3 linked regions of the Kluyveromyces lactis genome follow. The protein of the gene in region 2 purifies or fractionates together with the protein of the main gene of each other region. This does not show direct contact. Links are inferred from orthologs where the notes say so. Each region holds a gene or a part of one and is shown on either strand. Other genes may lie near its edges.

Evidence for each region.
Region 1: the proteins of MED7 (region 2) and SRB8 purify together in Saccharomyces cerevisiae (affinity purification with mass spectrometry; 4 studies listed by BioGRID). This does not show direct contact. The link is inferred for Kluyveromyces lactis from reciprocal best matches to the Saccharomyces cerevisiae genes MED7 and SRB8.
Region 3: the proteins of MED7 (region 2) and SSN2 purify together in Saccharomyces cerevisiae (affinity purification with mass spectrometry; 4 studies listed by BioGRID). This does not show direct contact. The link is inferred for Kluyveromyces lactis from reciprocal best matches to the Saccharomyces cerevisiae genes MED7 and SSN2.

Annotation. Positions count from the first base shown.
Region 1 is NC_006042.1:661,677-668,808, forward strand, and holds the start of SRB8 (Srb8p), read right to left. Parts: upstream 3,963-7,132; coding exon 1-3,962. Other genes in the region: putative ATP-dependent RNA helicase DBP6, read right to left, coding at 4,294-6,186; RSM19 (mitochondrial 37S ribosomal protein uS19m), read left to right, coding at 6,454-6,729; type 2C protein phosphatase PTC6, read right to left, coding at 7,025-7,132.
Region 2 is NC_006041.1:648,178-653,585, reverse strand, and holds MED7 (mediator complex subunit MED7), read left to right. Parts: upstream 1-2,688; coding exon 2,689-3,330; downstream 3,331-5,408. Other genes in the region: ATP11 (Atp11p), read left to right, coding at 1-109; prephenate dehydratase PHA2, read left to right, coding at 496-1,431; SCF ubiquitin ligase complex subunit HRT1, read right to left, coding at 1,780-2,112; PFK27 (6-phosphofructo-2-kinase), read left to right, coding at 4,702-5,408. UniProt on the Saccharomyces cerevisiae protein: Component of the Mediator complex, a coactivator involved in the regulated transcription of nearly all RNA polymerase II-dependent genes.
Region 3 is NC_006038.1:105,768-112,923, reverse strand, and holds SSN2 (Ssn2p), read left to right. Parts: upstream 1-2,540; coding exon 2,541-6,704; downstream 6,705-7,156. Other genes in the region: KLLA0_B01397g (FAD-binding oxidoreductase), read left to right, coding at 1-153; KLLA0_B01375g (putative hydrolase), read right to left, coding at 293-2,215; Smc5-Smc6 complex subunit NSE5, read right to left, coding at 6,725-7,156. UniProt on the Saccharomyces cerevisiae protein: Component of the SRB8-11 complex. The SRB8-11 complex is a regulatory module of the Mediator complex which is itself involved in regulation of basal and activated RNA polymerase II-dependent transcription.

The sequences.
Region 1 (7,132 bases), on a different chromosome or scaffold from region 2:
GGATTAGTCTTTTCCAACCTTGCATCGAATAAACCTAAGCTCAAACTGGTATTATTCAATTCGCCTTCCAGTGGCTCTTGATAGTTAACCAAATATTGGAAAGGTTCAATCTTGAAGATACAATCGAACTGAGATGACTTCTTATTGAAGACGAAGTATTTTAAAGCTGAGTTCGTTTTGGCCTGTTTATCACATATACCTAAACGAATTAGACTTGGCTCGTCTTTATCAAGGAATTCATCTTCAGTACCTTCAGAATCTAAGAAAGACGAAATCGCGAATTTCGGCAATTGATTCAAAACGCTTGGCATTTTTATTGAGTGCAGAGCCTGATCCTTTGTTTCGTTTAAAATATAAGACTTTAGAGAAGTTAGGAGATCATAAAGTAGTAGCTTCAACTTCAAGTCTTTACCGGTGTTATGGAACAAAGTATAGAAATTGTCAACCATATAGTGATCACGGAGCTCAATTGATTCAAAACAATGTCTCAATATGAACTTCTCATGAATGATAACGATCTTTAATAGCTCGTTCAAGTTTTCGTCGTATTTCTTTAATGTATCGTTAGGCATTTTTGCAAATGTAGCAATAGTATTTTTGAACAGTTCCAAAACCTCTGAATCCATCCCCAGGCTTGACATATTTACCAGATGCCTGCTTAGTACAATTTCTGTATCCATCATTATATGCAAGAAGACTAACGCAGATTTTTCTGTCTCCAAAACTCTTGCTAAAAATTGTCTTTCAATAACTGTCAAAAGGGTCGACACTTGTTTTTTGTCTGAGATATTACTGAATATTTTTGGTAATAATGAGTTGTAACCAATTGCGCCGACGATGCTGGAGAAAAAGTCCGATAGATCTTCAGCATTAGAGTTTTTTACATTGAATTCGGTGAGTATCTGGAACAACCAAGTATTGGTGAAGTTCAAATACCGATATAGATCAATGGTGTTGTCTATTGCTTCATTTTCGATATTCATTCCATATATCAACATATCTCTAATGATAGACATGTTTTTCTCTTCTCTTAAAATGTGGCTGACAACTTGAGCAGATTTTTCACTCAAATTTGAATTTGGACCATATTCCACTAGCATTCTCACTAAAGTGTCCCTGAATGTAGGTCGACTGAAAAGTTGAAGAGTGATTTGTTTGAAATTCCTCTTGACAAAGGCATTCTTTTCATTTTCGAAATTTAGACCATAATTAAAGCTTACTTGTGACACTAATTCACATAATAAATCAAAATGTGATGTCTTCTGAATTACCTCAAAACTTAGTAATTTTAATGAAATAAGTTTTAATAATTCATGAACAGTGAAGTCTCCTCTTTTCACAAAAATTGACAAAAACTTATTATACTCTGAGGCGTGTGAGGCCTTGCATAGTAACAAGAGTTTTCTACAATTGGATTCATCTTCGGGATTATGAAGAACCTTTTTAATATTTTGCTGGATCACACTAGGAAAGTTCTGCTCTTCAAACTTCGTATTCTTATTACCGGTTATTTCCAGGTATAACGACACCGTTTCGTTTGGCATTTTAGTAAAGTGATCTTTCCGGTGTCTCTCTAACTCGAAAACTTCAGCAATTTGATTCTGCAACGACGAGTCCATTTCAATCATGTTTGCACAATTCTTAACGAAAAACTTCCAAAAACTCTTAAAATTTATCAATTCAAAAGCTGCTTTGTCTTTTATCCGTAGATCCCTCATATAACTGTGTAATAATGTCTTCATAAATAAAATATGATCATTGATAAGTAAAAGAAAAGCTTTGTCCAAATAAAGCAAAATGTCAGTGAATACTTCTAAGTTTTCAAGGTCATCAATTAATTGATGATAAACAATATACTCAGCCCACCCAAAAAAGTGATGTAACTCTCCTAGATTGATACAAAAAAGTTGGAATGTTTTGATGATCTTATGATTATTGACCTTCTGAAGTTCCCCTTGATTAAAACAGATTTGAGATAAATACCATTCGGAGCACATAATCCGTATGCTTCCTGGATACTCCTCAAGCCTTTCAAAATCACCACTAAGAAGTTTAGGTTTAAGGCTTTCAAAGATCGACACTAACTTGTCAAAATTGTACTTCTCATAAAAGTGAGGAGCGTACTCCATAACATTCTTTAACACCATGTTATATTGCGACTTCATAATAGGTGATATCTTTAAATTGATAAGGAGTTTACAGTGGAAATTTTTATTCTCGGATTCTGGCAAATAGAGTACACCAGAACTTATCAAACGTCTGATGTATGTTGGGACTTTAATTATTCCATAACCAATAAAGACATTCAAAAGTTGATGCAACTTCGGAAGCCATACGATTTTCTGCAATTCTAACTTTGATAATTTAGAAAAATGGAAAATAAGACTCCATATAACATCCTCAATGCTGTATTCTTGGAATGATTCTTGAGAATTGATTTTTAAAACTAATATTTTCGCAACTAAATGACAACTGTCATATCGATGCTTACGTGAAGGATTGATTGCCCATAGAATAATTTCAATGACCTGTTCCATTTTCGTAATTTTTTGGTCAATAAATAAGCTCCACTCTGAGCCTGAAAGGCCACTATCTAATACACCGAGTAATTCTGGGCTCACATTCTTGAGATTCAAAATATTTCCTGAGAAAACATTGTCTAAGGTAAGTTCAGTGCTGAAAGGAGAGGTTTCTCGAGAAGGTTCCACATCAAGGGATCCCAACCGTAACGATTCATTCCTATATGATATCAATTTCAATTTCTTTTTTAACTTTGGGGTCTCTTCATCAGAGACATTCTGAAGTAATATTTGATACAAGTAATTCTTATAGATGTTCCAATTTTGCTTTGGCATGATGAACGCTTCTAAGGATTGAGTATGGAAAATATGGGAAATAAACTGCCGCAACCGTAATAAAACAGACTCTTTGAGTTTTGAATTTCTCTGGACATCATTTATGATATACTTCGAGTCATTAATCATACACTTGGACTCAGATATGATGTGGTACTTTCGTAATAGAATTTCTGAAAGCTTTATTATCAAAAACGATGATTCTATTTCTGTATCTTCTTCTGTTGTCCCAAGAATTCCACTCCAGAAGATAGAAAGGATATGCAATGTCATAGGATAGAATTCGAAGCTCTCTATTTTACTTAAAAAATCTACCAGCCATTGATGCAAAGTAGATCTGTTTAATAGTTCCATTTCATAACAGTTACCTAGAATCTTCAAATAATGAGCGATGCGTAGCTTCCAATATTTCAACTGCCCCGGATCATTGTAATATTTACTGACTTCAAAAACCAATTTCTCAAGGATAAGGACCATATTATCGGTCCAGTCTTTGTACAAAGTACTAAGAAGCTCTTCATGGGTGGTTTCTCCTTTGGCTTTTGAGATCATTCCTTTCCATTCAATAGCATAGCAACTTTTGATTAGCCATATGACACGATATATTGGAACGAATTGTGTGTAGCATTGTTCCAAAATGTGCCTTTTCCTAAATCCATGAGGAACAGATTTAGTTAATTTCCGCAATGATGTGTTCGATGAGCTTAATTCCTGAAGCCACAGATTCCTCTTTTGATCTGTAAGCGTGACTCTGTTAGGCAAATGAAAATCTTGACCGGACCATTTAGTGAACCTTGTACTGTCTTCTATGTCCAGTGTACTTATCCTATTAATTTCTTGTTCTCGTATCTCAATAATCTTGGATAATTCATCTCCTAACAATGAGGAAACTTTGGGAAGTGATCCTTGTAAAGCTGAACGAGCAGAAATGGTTTCAAAGTTTACCCTAGAAGCAGTATAGTAGCCTTTTGCCACGAACTCTTTAAGTATCTTATCCTCCTCTTTGGTGTGAATCCACGGATCAAAATCAGGATAGATTTGTGGGTTGGAGTCGGTGAGCGGATGTAATTCCTCCGGAGGAGTTAGTAAATATTTTGACGGTGACATCAGAAGTATCTAGCGGTTATTCTCTGACTACTTATATGTGTTAACAAGCACTAGTTAAGACAGTTTAACCTGCCTAAGGTACTTTGAAGGTTTATAGTGTTTCAGTGATTCTGAACGATCAATCACATATCAATTTAAGGTAAAGAAAGTTCTAAAGTGGAGGAAAAACACTGCTCGAACAATAAATAACATGTCACATGATCAACTCATCAGAAGAGGCAAAATAGATAGTAAGTATAAGATCATTAGTGCCTTCTCAAATATCACTTAGACGAGCCCCAAGAATGGGGTACAGTTACTATGATCTTTTTACTTATTTAGTGATAATATGCTATTTACTGTCTGCTTCTTTGCTGGTTTGGAGTTGTTTGATACAACCCTTGTACGTATCCTTCAAAGTGTCTTCAATAGAGAATAATTCAGACAACTTTTCTTCGTCAAGGTAAGCAGATGGTTGATAACCATCAATGTCACGACTGAGGTCAGTGTCAATATGTTGTGACCAGAATTTCTGTTCACCCTTACCAACTAGAAGGTTAATTGCTATACCCTCAGTATTAGCCCTTGCAGTTCTACCACAACGATGAACATATTGTTGAGAGGAGATCGGTAGATCATAGTTTATCACATGAGTAATTTCATTTATATCGATACCTCTAGCCATTATGTCCGTTGAAATTAAAACTGATTTCTTTTGTTCTGAGGATGCAAATTCCTGTATTAGTTTTCTGCTACTACCCTTCGAGATGTTCGAATGAATTGATGAAAGGAACATATTATACTCATCTTCAATTATTCCTGATCCTAACATGGCATGTAATAAGCTTTCTAATCTGATCGAAGCTTCGTTACTCTTCACAAACACTAATATTTTAGCGTTTCTCGAAGCACTGCTCTTGATGTCGTGTATTATTCTTAGTAAGAGTAGTGGCTTGAACAGACTCTTAGCAGTAGGAATATTGACATTGAGTTCTTGCAATTTCTTAGGTATTGAATATAATTTAACAGAATCTGTGAGGAAGATCTTGGGGTTGTGGAGATACAAATTGTACAACTTTTCTGCATTCGTAGTCAAAGTAGCAGAAAAGACCATTTTGATTACGTTTCCTGGACGTTTATCCTGCTTATCGTTTGTCAAATGGTGGAAAAGCACTTGGTTCCAATTTTGGAATGACTGATTTAATAGTCGGTCTGCTTCATCAAGGACTAAGAACTTCAAAGTTTTTAGGTCAAATGATTCCATCTGCAAGTGATCGACCAGTCTGCCCGGAGTGATGATTAGAATGTCTGGAGAGTTATACAAAAATTTGTTGTGTTCTTCTTTCAAGGAGTTCTCGAGTTTCGACATTGATACATTGAGACTGGTCCCTTGACTTAGTTTAGAGAGACAATCGTAGACTTGATGAATTAAAATTTTAGTAGGAACCAAAATTATTGCCCTAACTTTATTCACTGTTCTAGATCTCAAAATTTGAACCAAAGGGACAGAATATGCTAAGGTCTTACCGGAACCAGTTGATGCGTTTACTAATATATCACCAACTCGTCTTGTGAAAAGTTTTCTGTTTGCTTTAAAAGATGAGTTTAGAAGCGGGAGCACTTTATCGAATAGAATGGTCTGAATAGGGAACGTTTCAGATGAGAAATTGGAGGTAATATTTTTAAGCAGACGTGCATCTAATTCACCTTCGTAGCTATCGAATTGTTTAACCATTTTACTATCGTAATGAATTTTGGTTGCTGCATCCCACGCAGTGGATTTATATGTAGACGGATCTAGAAGCTTCAAGGCTTCATTGGTCACTTTGGCCGGTTGAGGAATTGGGGTAAGACTGTGAACATCTTTCATGGATACGTCCTCATCGTGTACATCGTTGTCACTACTGACCTTGTCTGAAGCGCTCAACGCACCTTGCAGGGAAAGAGTCTGTTGAAATCTATTTAATACGGAACTGTGCTTTGCATCAACTGATTGCTGAGAAGTTTCTGTAGGCGCAACAGATGCAACCTTGTTTTCATCTTGCTCACTAATTGTATCGGAATCATCCTCACTGCTGGAAGCATCATCCTCACTGCTGGAAGCATCGTCCTCACCAGAGCCTTCATCATCAGTTTCCGCATCTCTTTTCCTCTTTTGGGGCACAGTGGGTTCTTTTATTTGTGTGACTTCAGCTGTTAGTACATTTTCAGTCACCTTAGTAGGATCAAACCTTGCAGCAAACATGTTATTGACTGGATGCTATCGTTATGCTGTCGCTATGCTGTTACTGACCTTCTAAATTCCTGAAGCTCATCGCATCATATTACATCTCATCGCCATTCGTCTATTATTTTATTTCAGAACGGAATTCATAAAAAATTTCAATCTGTAAAACTTGAAATAACGACAAGATATAATAGAGTTAAGTCACTACCATGATATCAGTCAGCCAAAGGTTCCAGCAGTTAGACAAATATCTCGCGTCTACGATAACACTCATAACGTCATAAAATGTTCCCGTCATTGAGATTACTATCACGTTCTGTATGGAAAGGTCCAAATATAGTCCCATTACCAATAAAAGAAGCATTGGCCAAAGGTACGCCCATTAGAACAAATGCCAGATCTGCCACCATATTACCTCAATTTGTCGGACTGAAATTCCAAGTGCATAATGGTAAGGAGTATGTCGCGTTTGAAGTGACAGAAGATATGGTAGGAAGTAAGCTAGGAGAATTCGTACCAACAAGAAAGAGATTCAGTTATACTCAAACTAAGAACAAATGATTTGACATTTATGAAAAGCACAAAGTTAGTCAGACAGCAGCATGTATATAAAATCACACCTGGAAGTTCATGTACCACCGTGTACTCCATACGTAACTGTATCTATTACTAAGAAATGATTTATTGAACAAGTGCTCTCGATTAATTGGGAGTTAATGGTGTTTCTCATTGTTAAATAGATGCAAATGTTAATCATAACGAGTACTATATATAATAATTGAAGTAAAATAGAATATACACTCTTTACTTGAGGTTTCTTTTGAATTTAATTTATGATTAAGTTTGTGGACTTTTTTCAACCACTAGATCTTTCTCCACCGGATACACCACTTAGTAGCTTTTCCTCTCTAATCGCACCAGTGCGATCAATGACAGGCCAATTTCCCCAGTTCGGTAACCGCAG
Region 2 (5,408 bases):
AGACTCCGGGTTTGCCCAAAAGAGGGTCCAACTTTTGAAGGATTTTACCAACGGATCTCCAAACTTCAATGTTGATCTATTAGTTGCTCTTTCTCAAGTTATGGAGTAGTGGAAGATTCCTAATACATTTATATATATTTATATACATATATATATACATGTCGCTTGTATAAAGAAAACATTCCATCATACTCGATCTATGCTAACAGCATGCGGTTTTGAGTAGCAGCAGGCTGTGGTTCGAGGTTGGGCAGCATGCGTTGGAATGGCTTTCTTCTTAGTCACGTGTACTTCATCAAAATGAATTTCACCACTATGACTAAGTGTGGTCCAGAAGTGCTACGAGCATATGGATGCATCGATGACCCAACCTATGAGTAGAATCGATTGAATTCGTTCTGCTCAAACAGTACAAAGCCCCGACAGTAGTTGCACATTGTACACTGTTTGCTGGAAGTTGGAATATCTCCTTGTTTTACTTCTACTACATTTATAATGGCGAAAGTATTGTTCTTGGGCCCTGTGGGAACATATTCACATCAAGCAGCACTCCAACAATTTCCAAACGAGGAGCTAATACCGGTGACATCTATCCCTGCATGTTTCGAAAAGCTCATTTCAGACATAGATATGGACTACGGGGTAGTTCCTCTCGAAAACTCCACCAACGGTCAAGTTGTTTTCACGTACGATCTTTTCAGAGATTTTATGCAAGCAGATTTAAGTCCAAGTGTTGAGGTTGTTGGTGAACAATACGTCGACATTGCCCATTGCTTGATTTCACCAGTACCGCTCTCAGAAGAACAATTAAGAAAGGTTGATGTTATATATTCACATCCACAAGTTTGGGGCCAAGTAAAAGACTATCTCAGTGATCTTGAAACAAAATACGGTAAGACCGCCAAGATCGACTGCAGTTCGACTGCGGGGGCTGTGGAAAGATGCATAGCTGAATATGCCACTGATAGAAAAATAACTCTAGCAATTGGAAGCCGTGCGAGTGCATCACTAAATAAAGCTACGATTGTGGAAGGCGGTATCAATGATGTCAATGGAAATACGACAAGGTTCTTGATCTTGAAAAGGCGTGACGAATCTAGCGAAATTGGCAGCCAAGCTCTCCCACCTAAAGGCGATGAAATGAAAGTAAACTTTGTCACCTTCGTGATAAATCAAGATGATCCAGGTTCCTTAATAGATGTATTAAATGTCTTGAGGGAGTATAAGTTGAATATGTGCTCAATCAGTTCGAGACCATTCCATAATCAAGTGCAATCAGAAAGAAAATGGCAATATTGCTTCTTTATTGAGTTTTATGGCAATTACGGTACTGATTACGAACTTCTGGCGAAAAGGTTTGACGAAAACTGCGCAAAATGGATTCACTGGGGTAAATTCTACCGAAACGCACTGTATTACCAAATCCCATGATATATGCATTATGTTTAGAAACAAAATGCAAATACTGATCTTAAAAACGAAGCAATCGAAGAGGAATGTACGCATCCTAGTTGTATTCATGGAACAACGCTGTCCTGTCTATTGTTTTGGGACCGATCGAACCTGTCGATAATTCCATTAGAAGCTCGTTACGTAACTATATATACACAGAAGCCAGATTATCTAAGCTTCTTCCCAATGGTAGATATTAAATCCACACTATCCGCTTGGTATTAAATCATTGGAAATCTAAATTGAGTAACATTTTTTGCGGTTCGAACAGTCCAATAGCGATATTAAATTTCGATAATGCATCTTTGTAGGCTTAACACTCTATCTTCACTTGCCACACCGAGCCAATTTCCAAGGTTTATTATCCAACGGACAAACATTTCTGCTCTTGATCCATTGGGTAATACAATGTAGGTGGAATGCGTGGTTGCACTCACCCCAGGCGGCTACACATTCATGCTCCGAGTTGAAAGTTGCTTCCTGCTGACAATTTACACATGGTTCCATAATATGATTTCTGCAAATGGCACAATTATCAACGTCAATATCCCATGACCAAAAAGCTACCGCTGTCCATTTCGTTATCTCAAAATTGGGCTTTGACTCAGTAGCACCCTCTGTCCCGCTCTGTGCCTCTATTGGTCCCAAATCCGTGGCCATCTCCTAACGATCAGCTACTATTGGTAAATATAAATCCTTCCTTCTTTAAAACAGATTACAAACAGACGTTCTAAGTCCCAGGTCTAACTGTCGTTCAATCCTTGGAAACGCGGGTGTGAAAACCTTTTTTTAAACTATTAATGATCGAATAGAGTAGTCTTATGAATGACAAAAGATATACCCTGTGGACTATAATGGGATCTATGGACTTTCGTAACTGCCCAAACGTTCAGAAACATTAGAATTCATGTTGAAAGAGAGACAAGAGTGATATTCATATCACGTGAATACAAACATTTGTTACCCGGATGTGAAATTGTACATGAAATGGAAATCCAACTTATAGTAACCAGCACAAACAGAAACAAGTGATAAATCAGTGAACACAGGAAAGCGTGTTGGCGATATCAGACCTGTGTTAGACCTCCGTGGCCATAATCTGTCCAGATTCAAGATAAACTGGAACCTCGACCGTCCTTTAAAGTATTGAAATCCCTCTCAATAAAAGATTTTTTTGAAAGTGATTGTGAAAGTGAGAGACAATACTGCCAGTCAGAAGCTAAAATATAAAGGACCATGAGTGACAAGAACGAAGTATCATCATTGTATCCTCCACCACCACCGTTCATTCAATTTTTCACCGAAGAGAACTCAAAACTATTTAGAGAATGTGGCAAAGATGAAGAAAAACTAGCGAAATGTACAACAAAACAGAGGGAGCAGTTGAAATATTTTGTGAAGCCAGAACTACCCAGGGATGGTTCATACAGAGCATTTGGTAATGTATGGAAAATTAAGGATGAACTACCGGAGTTATCACAGATGGGAATTGAACAATTATATAGGAAACGGGAATCTGTCACGGAATTGGAAAACGGGACCACAACAGAAGTTGAACCTAGTCCTCAAGATTCGCAAAGTGGGACAAATTACGAGAACAAGATCCAAGAGTCGAAAAAACTAATGAAATCACTATTACTAAATTTCCTAGAGCTTATAGGAATATTGGGAGTGGATTCAAGTAGATATGAGAAAAAACTTGACGAGATAAGGGTGATAGCCATCAATATTCACCATCTTCTTAACGAATATAGACCGCACCAAAGTCGTGAATCGCTAATCATGTTATTTGAAGAACAATTGGAACATAAACGCAAGGAAATGGAACACATCAATAAAGTCTGTGATGAAGTGGAATCCAAGCTGGCTCAACTGTGATATATATCCCAGCATACCAGTTGTTAAGGCGATCTCTAAAAACGAAGACTTTGGTATCAAGATGTTTAATTAAACTTTCATAAGTTCGGCTGCTTGAGAGATTTAATTCGAAATTTAGCCGCCGAATAAGGTATACAGAATAAGAAAATCAGCAAACTTTCTCCCAATGCAAGCAAAGGGGGAAGACAAATTTAATAGCAAGATGTCGGACGAAGCTAATGCTCATTATTTCTAAAAGTCCTAATACCAACTCTCTGACGCTGATTATGTAACGAAGACCTAGTAAGTTTAAAATACAAGTCACGTGCTCTACATGACTCGCGAAGTCCTTTTTCTTTTGTCTTCCCAGAATGGGGTAGAATTGCCGATTTCTCTTCGATTTCAGGTATGGCGGATCGGAGAAACTAATTCCACAGGAAGAAATCCTACAATTCCCTTACACCACACTACGCATTATAAAAAAGACCCAAAAAAAGAATTAGCGATCGGAATAACTCGTGCAGAGAGTGTAGGGCCTAAACGGGCAAAGAGGAGAACAAATGACCAGGCATGAAAAAGAGACCAAAGAGAGACAGAAGAGGGGAACGGCGGGCAGAGGGCAAATAGAAAAAACCGCCAGGCAGATTATCCGAAAGACACACAACAGAATAGCGCGCGAAACTGTCGTCAGTACCTCTCTCACACCGGTTTCCTCGAGAGGAAACCGTTACACCGATTAAATCGGAGCTGTAACGGGCAGCTGGGTTAGTTTACCGTAATAAACGTGACAGATCCCAGGACTGATCCATTTTATTGTCAATATGTCAGCCTTCTTTTCGGCAACATGCTCTCTTTTTTAAAGCCTAACAGGAATTGAATTGCCAAAGTAAGCTATAATTCCTGTAATGGAGGAGAGCGCACCGCGTGGTGCCTGACTTGGGCTAGTATAGCAATGCGTGAATAGTTTACACCTATATAATATATATAGTGAGGGACAAACCAAGGGTTGACACACTGAACTGTTACCTGGGGGCATCTTTCCTACTTGTAACCAAAGGGACAAACATAACCTGACAACGTGTCGTCACAATTCGGGTATACTATCGTTTTCTCTACCCTTTCTGTCTCTAGCATTTCGCTCTGCAATCTACGCTATCTTCGCTTCTTTTTTTTTTCTTCTTTCTTTTCGATTTCAAGAATATCTGTTGAATCTTTTCTTTTGAGAGTGTTTCGGATCAACTTATGCCAGTTTTCGATACACATTTAAGCTCTAGTGTTTTTCAGATCGACCACGTAAAGAATTAACCCGTTAAAAGTTGAAAGGTGAAGAAGCACAGAAGCAAACAGCAAGCTCGCAAGCACAATTCGACGAGACATACACACCAATCAAGGATGTCGCGACCCAACGAAAATCTAAGGCCCGAGTTATTAAGAAGTCTAGAGTCGAGGAAACACTTGAACTCGAGGACGGTTTCTACCAATACTTCCACGAATTCTTTATTTTCACTACATGGCTCAAGCTCATCGTCAATTTATCCGACGATTTCACATACAGAAACAGAGATAGATGTGAGTAACCATACAGATGGGTACTTTGCCGGATTACAAGGCTCATCGTCGGCGAACCATGCTGCTAACAATTCTTATTTGTCTCAGGGAAGTTCGTTGACTATACAGTTTGGGAACAAGAGGCAGAATTTAAACCATAAATTTTGCGTGATTCTCATCGGTTTACCAGCCACTGGAAAGTCTACCATATCCAGACATTTGATCAATTTCCTTCACTCGTCTCGTAGTACAGCGCATCTTCGATGCTCTATCTTCAATGCCGGTAACGTGAGACGTAAGTTGAGCACCCGCCGTCAGGTCTCGCCGTTCATGGCGCCTGAGTTGAACAAGTCGGAGGAGGACGTTTTCAATCCAAAGAACTCGCATAAGAAAGAGGAATATGCAAGAATAGCCCTTTCTAAGCTTTTGAATGATTTGAAACAAGATAGATGTGATTTGGCTATATTCGACGCCACCAACTCGACTTTGCAAAGAAGAAATTACGTGTTGCAGGAGATTAGATCCTTCAATAAGGCCCAATACGATAAACA
Region 3 (7,156 bases), on a different chromosome or scaffold from region 2:
ATTGGAACTGGTAAAAGAAAGTTTTTGGAGGATGAATTAGGATCAGATACTGTCGATCTAATGCGGAAAGTAAAGTTAGCTATAGATCCAAAGAGACTGTTGAATCCAGATAAAGTACTCAAGATCGATCCCTTAGATCCTAGTAACGAATGAAACCACCAACCACAAAAAGGAAAAGATACCAGAGGTGTGAAGCCTCGTATCCTCTGAGAACGCGATCTATAGACTACTAATTTATTTTATTTATATACAGTTGAACTTTTAATGATATTATTATTACTATAGTCATCATTCATTCTATCATTGCCTTCGATCCAAAGTGTTCATCGGCAATATGATTGACAACTATCCAACCGAATGAATTAACAAACCTGCGACGAACAATGATGTTATTATGGGAATCAGGCTGTAGCTCAACGATGACCTTTCTCCAGTCCATTGTCTCCTGCCAGTACCTTGCTATTCGTTCTTCTTTCATATGGATCGAGTAATTGGGATATATTATCTTTTTCACAAGCTTCTTATGTTTGTAGTGTTTATCTGGTAATTCTTCCGGGGTATAAACCTTGTCATGAATAATTCTGTCCGTTCTACTGGAGGGATCCACTAGGTACGACATTCCTGGCAGCGGTGCCGATATTGTACTTGCAGCAGCTTGCAATGTATTTGCCTTTTTTGGAGGTTTGAAAGTAGTTGGAGAGTCAGAATTATTGTTCGAATCACTACTGGCAGATTCTACCGAACTGGTAGTTTGAGTCCGCACATACGGTTTATATTTTTCCTTTTTAATGAGTGACTGGGGCAGCAACCATTGGAGAATAGACTTATTGTCCGAAGAGCTCTCTGGAATTTCCCCCAAAGATGACCCTTTCTGTTCTTCAACTCCCTCCTCAGATTGGGCATTGTTTTCGCTCCTCACCTGTTGCACATCACTTAAACCTCTCCAATCAAGATATAGTAAAGCAGCCGTCCTTAGAGGCACTATACCATCAAATGCGACATTAGCATACACGGTTCTACACTTGAATCGTTGGAAAACTTCTAACGCCGGATGTTTAGGTAAAAGCTCTAATATGGGTTTAGATTTGATTCTATCATGTGATCCATCATTATTTACAATACCTTTTGATGGCAGAAAATAGCTGCGCTTCAATGTGAGATCCCTTCCAGTCTGTCCCAAAGCGCCAATGTCCAGCACGATAGATATGTATTTGGGCAAATCTCCAATGACTCCGAGGAATGGGCTCGCCGCCGCCACAAAATTGACGGGTGTCAAGCCTGTGGTCTTGTCAAATATGTCTGGTCGTTCGACAGAGATATAGTGAATGGCCATAGCTTGCACGGGTCCTCCCAAAGAGTGACCTACAAATGAGATTCTTGTTAAGGTGAATTGCTGTTGAAGTTTATCGATGGTATCGATTATATATTCTGCCAACTTGAATCCTAGATGCCGTATACCTTTATGAGACTTCCCGACGTTTCCAGGATACCCTCTTATTACAAGATTGCCATTATTATCATCTGGCAAAAAGTTCGACGCTCGTTCAATGGTGTCTTTTAAGCAAAGCATATCTCCGCCAATAGAAGAGAAGATGCCATGTGTAATAATTACGAGATGAACTGGCTTATCTGGAAATGGCGGAGGTAAATTCCACAACTGTTCAGTGTCAAGTTTGGAAATTTTCAACCCATCAGTCTGCTGAACTTCTATATTCTTGTCTTTCTGGGAATGTTTAGCAGTTTTGTATGTTGTAGCTAGCGTGAAGACGAATGGAAGCCTTACAATGGTAACGACAGTGAACTGGGCAATAAGGTCAATCTTCCAAGCATAACAAGAAGTACCGTCAACTCGAGCATTAGAATTGAGATAAAGTTTCGCTTTGAAATTCTCATCAGGCTTGAGGTCACTCATGAACTCAATTCCATCTCCTATGAATTGCTTTCTCTCGTCATAATTGTTCGGCGTTATTTCAACATAAATTGAGTATGGTCCAGTTATCCATAACGGCCTCAAAAGCGCGCTCTCCTGGTTTTTGAATTCGAGATAGAGAGTATCGTCAGTACACTCAATTCCGTCAGATAGTAGCTTATTTTTATCTACAATTATCTTATAGCGATTGACATCCCCGATACCAAGTGACCCTGTTTCCCTTAAAAGCAGAATACCACTATCTGATGACTCAGTGTCGTTCTCTTCAGTCAGTTTTATTGCCATCTTGGCATACGCCAACCACTGTTAGCAGAAGTACAGGTTATACTGCGTTTCCAATTGAGAGTGCGCCGCTAATCACGGGGGGTGCGTTTAGCTTTATGCTTTGGTACCTGTCATTCATTGTTTTGTATTGGCAATCTTTTTTGTTTTTGTTTTATAATGATCAAGCGATTCATTATTATAAGTAGTGATAACTCGAGATAAAATCGTATAATTTTAAAAGAAGGTAACTAGACAGCATCTCTTAACAAGTACGGATTTTTGAAGTACCGTTGCATCCTAATCAGTCTGACTATCCAGCTTACTTTTCATCAGAGCAACGGAAACCATGAAAAAGGAGGTTGGGGACGCATGTCGATTGGAGGACATCGTTACCAATTTATACAGGTTAGAAACTGTCAAACAAATAAACTATCACCAATATGTACCTAGCAAGGCAGATAATCAATGGTCAATTCAAGCAGAGTTGTTCCTAAGGAGGAAAAACCCCAAAGTACTTGCAGCTCTTTTTTCCAGGGAGTTATGGTGTTTTAGTATTAACGATGATCCATTACCAGAGTTAAACCTTGAGCTGAATAACGAATCGGAGTCACCCCAGCCAGAGCGGAAGGGTCACTTCACCCCAGAATTCTCAAAACCTCACTTGCCTACCCCATATGCCATCTTTATGAAGGCTCTCAGGCGTATGATATATGTCAATTTGACCCTATCCTCCAATGAAACCATCGTGCCCTTTGGAAACTCATGCATATTTCAGGAATCATATACCTTTTCGACCAAAATCTTACACTTTGATCCACATCTATTTGAAAATGGAGATTTGACTGTTGCAATTTGTTCCAAGGATTTGGGTTTATCGAAGTTGAATGCAGAGAGCCTCAAACATGAAGTGGCTGTGTATTTGGCTCCATCTGGGATCAGAGTGTATTTACCATCCACAGATTTAAAGAAATGTTATGTATCACCACCCAAAAACGCTCAAATGTTTCTCAAGACACTATTTGTCTCCCATGGAATAAATTTAATCGATGTCGACGGTTTGAAATGGGTAAAGCTTATTCCAAATGCTAACCATTTGAATGGCTTCACTCCAACAATATCACATTATCTTGACGAACCAAAAGGAAATAATTTCGTTATCTGGCCGGCATGTCTCTGTTTTGTACAAACAGCATCTGACGTTCAAACTCCTCAATATACTGCATTTTCAAGATCCCCGCAGCTTGAGTTAGATGATTGTTTCGATATGATAGATGGATTTATACAGTTAAAACTCACTTCGGCCTACAGAACGCCTGGAACATCTGCAGGGATGGGAACTGTAACCGGACATAACCCATTAAGTACGGGAGGAATATTTACTGATCAGTTTCAAGGGTTTAATAAGCATTCGGCCAATAACAGCAATAACGTATCTTCAACGGGAGAGAATGGTAAGTTTTCTCCGGAATACTCTAATGATCCAAACGTAACACCTCTGCGAGATAATAAAACTAGTAGACAGAATTTCCCCACAGAGAGTTACAGCAGTAATGGTTTCATTACAACTCCAATAATAAATGAGAATATCACTCCAACCGTTGATGATATTATAACAGAAACTCCTTCCGTAAAACCTCAGAACGATCTTTGGAATGAGAAAAAGGATGTAATAAATAGTACATCCAATATCAACTCAAAGGACGCATCAGTAGGTAGTTCTGAGCGTAAAGTAGAACTGGAAACCGCTTTTGAATCTCCCGCTCAGAATATTTCGATAGAGGAACACGAGCATGTAGAATTCGACAAAGATCTTTTTGGTGAAGATAGCGACGAAGATGTCAGTACGCGAAATAAGAACGAAGAACTGGTATCTGTAAAAGAGATTACTGACGAAATGTTTGATCTAGCCGAAGATGACGATGAGGCTGACGGATCAACTAGTAACTCGTTAAAGTTTGATCGTCCCGACACCATCGAGTCTATTGATACTGACGAAAAGAAGACAAGAACAAAGCGTACCTATTTGGACATACCAGTGGATGTCATTACTATAGAAAAGACACCTACATTATACGAAGATCCAGGAGCACCTTTGCCTATTGAAACCCCAAAAGACAGAAAGAAAAGTATATTCGCACCACTCAATTTCAACCCCATCTTTGAAAGTAATGTGGATAACAAGTACAAGAATGGAGGTAAGTTTTCTGTTAACTCGAACACCAATGACGAACCAATACAATTTGGGATAAGTACAAGTAATATATCAAGCTCAGAAGATGATGATAGCGATTTTTCTCCTGCTGATTTCAACAATAATGGACCATCTGCAGGAAAGGGCTTATCATATGATCCAAGAGACAATGATATACCAATGATCGAGTCATCAACATACGAACCTATTGCAAAGGACTCTCTTCCCGAATTGATAAACCCACCATCTTCTTCCAAAGATGATTCTGTGGCATCTTATAATACGATCGGAACTCTAATGGAAAAACCTGTTAAGTCCAACTTAGACGCAATATGGAAGCCCGCCTTAAGTAAATCAGAAAGAGCTGATCTACCAAACCAGACAATTAATGGGGTCATAAACGACTGCAATAACAGCTCAAACTCAAATCCCACAACTTACTTTGAGAATACGCCTTCTCTCGGACCGGATACTCTATATGATAATTCAAAACCAAGAAGTTCATCAGCTAACTTTCTTTCCACGGTTGAAATCGACCCCAAAAGCGAACAAACTATTCAAACCGCAGAGCAAGAACAATCTGAATCATCTAGAATTCTCCCCTACCTTTTGAGACACATGCCTTTGTTCTCGTTGCCTGACGTGTTCCTTTGTCAGAATCCATCTTTGCCGCCCGGAAAAGACTTCGAGGATATTCTAGAGATTTTGACAGATCAGATAGTCTTCAATAATGATATGTTTTCTGATGATAGGGCAACAGAATCTCAGTTTAAAGGGATCAAGGATTGCTCCGTTGGCACCATCAGCGATACCATGAACCAGCTTTTTGGGAATTTTTCAAAGCTTCACGGAAACGAAATAATAGAGGAAGTCTTCTATTTGCCTGAACCATCAGTGTTTGTGAAGAAATCTGAAGATACAATTAAAATAAAAAGCTCATCGTGTTATTTCACGGAATATTTAAATCTGAAACCCAACCGTGGGGTAAAAAATTTCAGGGCCCTAGTGCTAACCACTGAGGCAAAAAATGATTGCATGTCTTTCGTATCACAAATGTCTCAGACATATTCGAATCATGAGTTAGGGTTCTGTGAACTGACTAAGTTGACTAATGACGATAATAAAGGGTTAATATACTTAAAAAATTTTAACCAAGACACCTTACTACTTCTTTCCGCACAGATTGTATCTTTCTGTTCAACAGCACTCTCAAATATTAAGAACATTCCTTTACTCATCTTTCTCCCCATCAACAAACTTTCATTAACAGAATGTATATCAATGATCCTCAAGTTTCATGTAATCAGGAAGGAGTTCAAATCTAAGTTACCAAAGGCAGATATTTTGTTGAGGCTCGTGAATATAGATTTCCTCAAAAATCCACTTACACCTATCACTGCGTACACTTCATTGTGTATGGCAATCTATAATAGTCTACCACCAAAAAGTACTAAGGTAACGTCCCTAACAAATGATTTACCCAAACAAATTGAGTTCCGGACACTGAAGAATGCCTCCTTATCTATCCATTACGATAACTACATCCATTTGGCATACTTGAGAAGTATTGATCGTGAGTGGCTGTGTGCTGCCTGGTCAGACACCAAAGGCGTCGAAAGCTTCGTGAAAACCTGGTATGTCGGTAACTCCAGAACTCGTTTCGAACAAGTGTGCAATGACATCTGGAAAATAACCCTACAATTGGCGTCTAAGAATTTTGGAAATGTTTGCTTGGTGTTGACAAGACTCGATAGTGTCCTTCCTGATGACGAATTGATCCATTGGAGACGTCTATCAGTCGCCACAAAAGATCTCCATCTTGCTGTGGTCTGTGTCGGAGATAACACGAAATTAACATTATTCGATGAGGACAAAACATACCCAACATTTAAAAACTTGTTCAGAACGAAATCGAATCCGCAGACAGGAATATCAAACAGTATAGACGATCTTGAGATAATTAACATTGATGAGGAAGTCCATGGACTAATATTCAGTAACCCGTTGCAGCTAGCAAACTCCCAGCATAGATGCGCCATCAAAAGTGGAGCATTGATTCGTTTTGCAAAAAGCGAAGGCGATAACTTCATTGATAAATTTGAGGTAAATCTTTTGAACTGCCCTCATGCAGACAGTTCAACACTTTTGAAGGAAATCTTAAAACAATACAGAAACTTGGCAGGTTTGAATCCATGGTTCGGAGTATCCTATGGAAAAGATAATTTCATTCCGTGGCATGTCGTTGCAGTAAAAAATGTCATGAACTCTATTGTACATGTTAAGAGCTCATTCGAAAAGGAGACCCATATTATTGATTAGTTTGAATAGATAAAGTAATATTAATAGGTCTGCTCGAACAAGGGTATCACGTCTTTCACATCCATGAAAGAGTTCGGAGACTTCGCAAATGTGGTCAAAACTCTCAGAAGTTCTTCAAAGTTCCCTTGTGGATGAGTAGTTATGATTAACCTAGTCAATATAATTATGCAAAAATCCATCTGTATTCTCCGCTTCGAAATTCGAGAACGGTTGAATGCCGCAGACCTGTCTATGGCTCTGAGCAATTTCATTAATTCTGAAGTCACTTCTTCAAAATTCGACATCTTGTTAACAATGTTGAAAGTCCGCCTTGGCTCAACATTACTAAACGCCTTATTCAATAACTTTTCAACCAATGTTGTTATCAAATTTCTGTCCTTTTCTACATCGCATGAGAGGAAGAACTGTTTGAACGAACTAATTTTTAAATCACTATACAGTGCATCAACAAT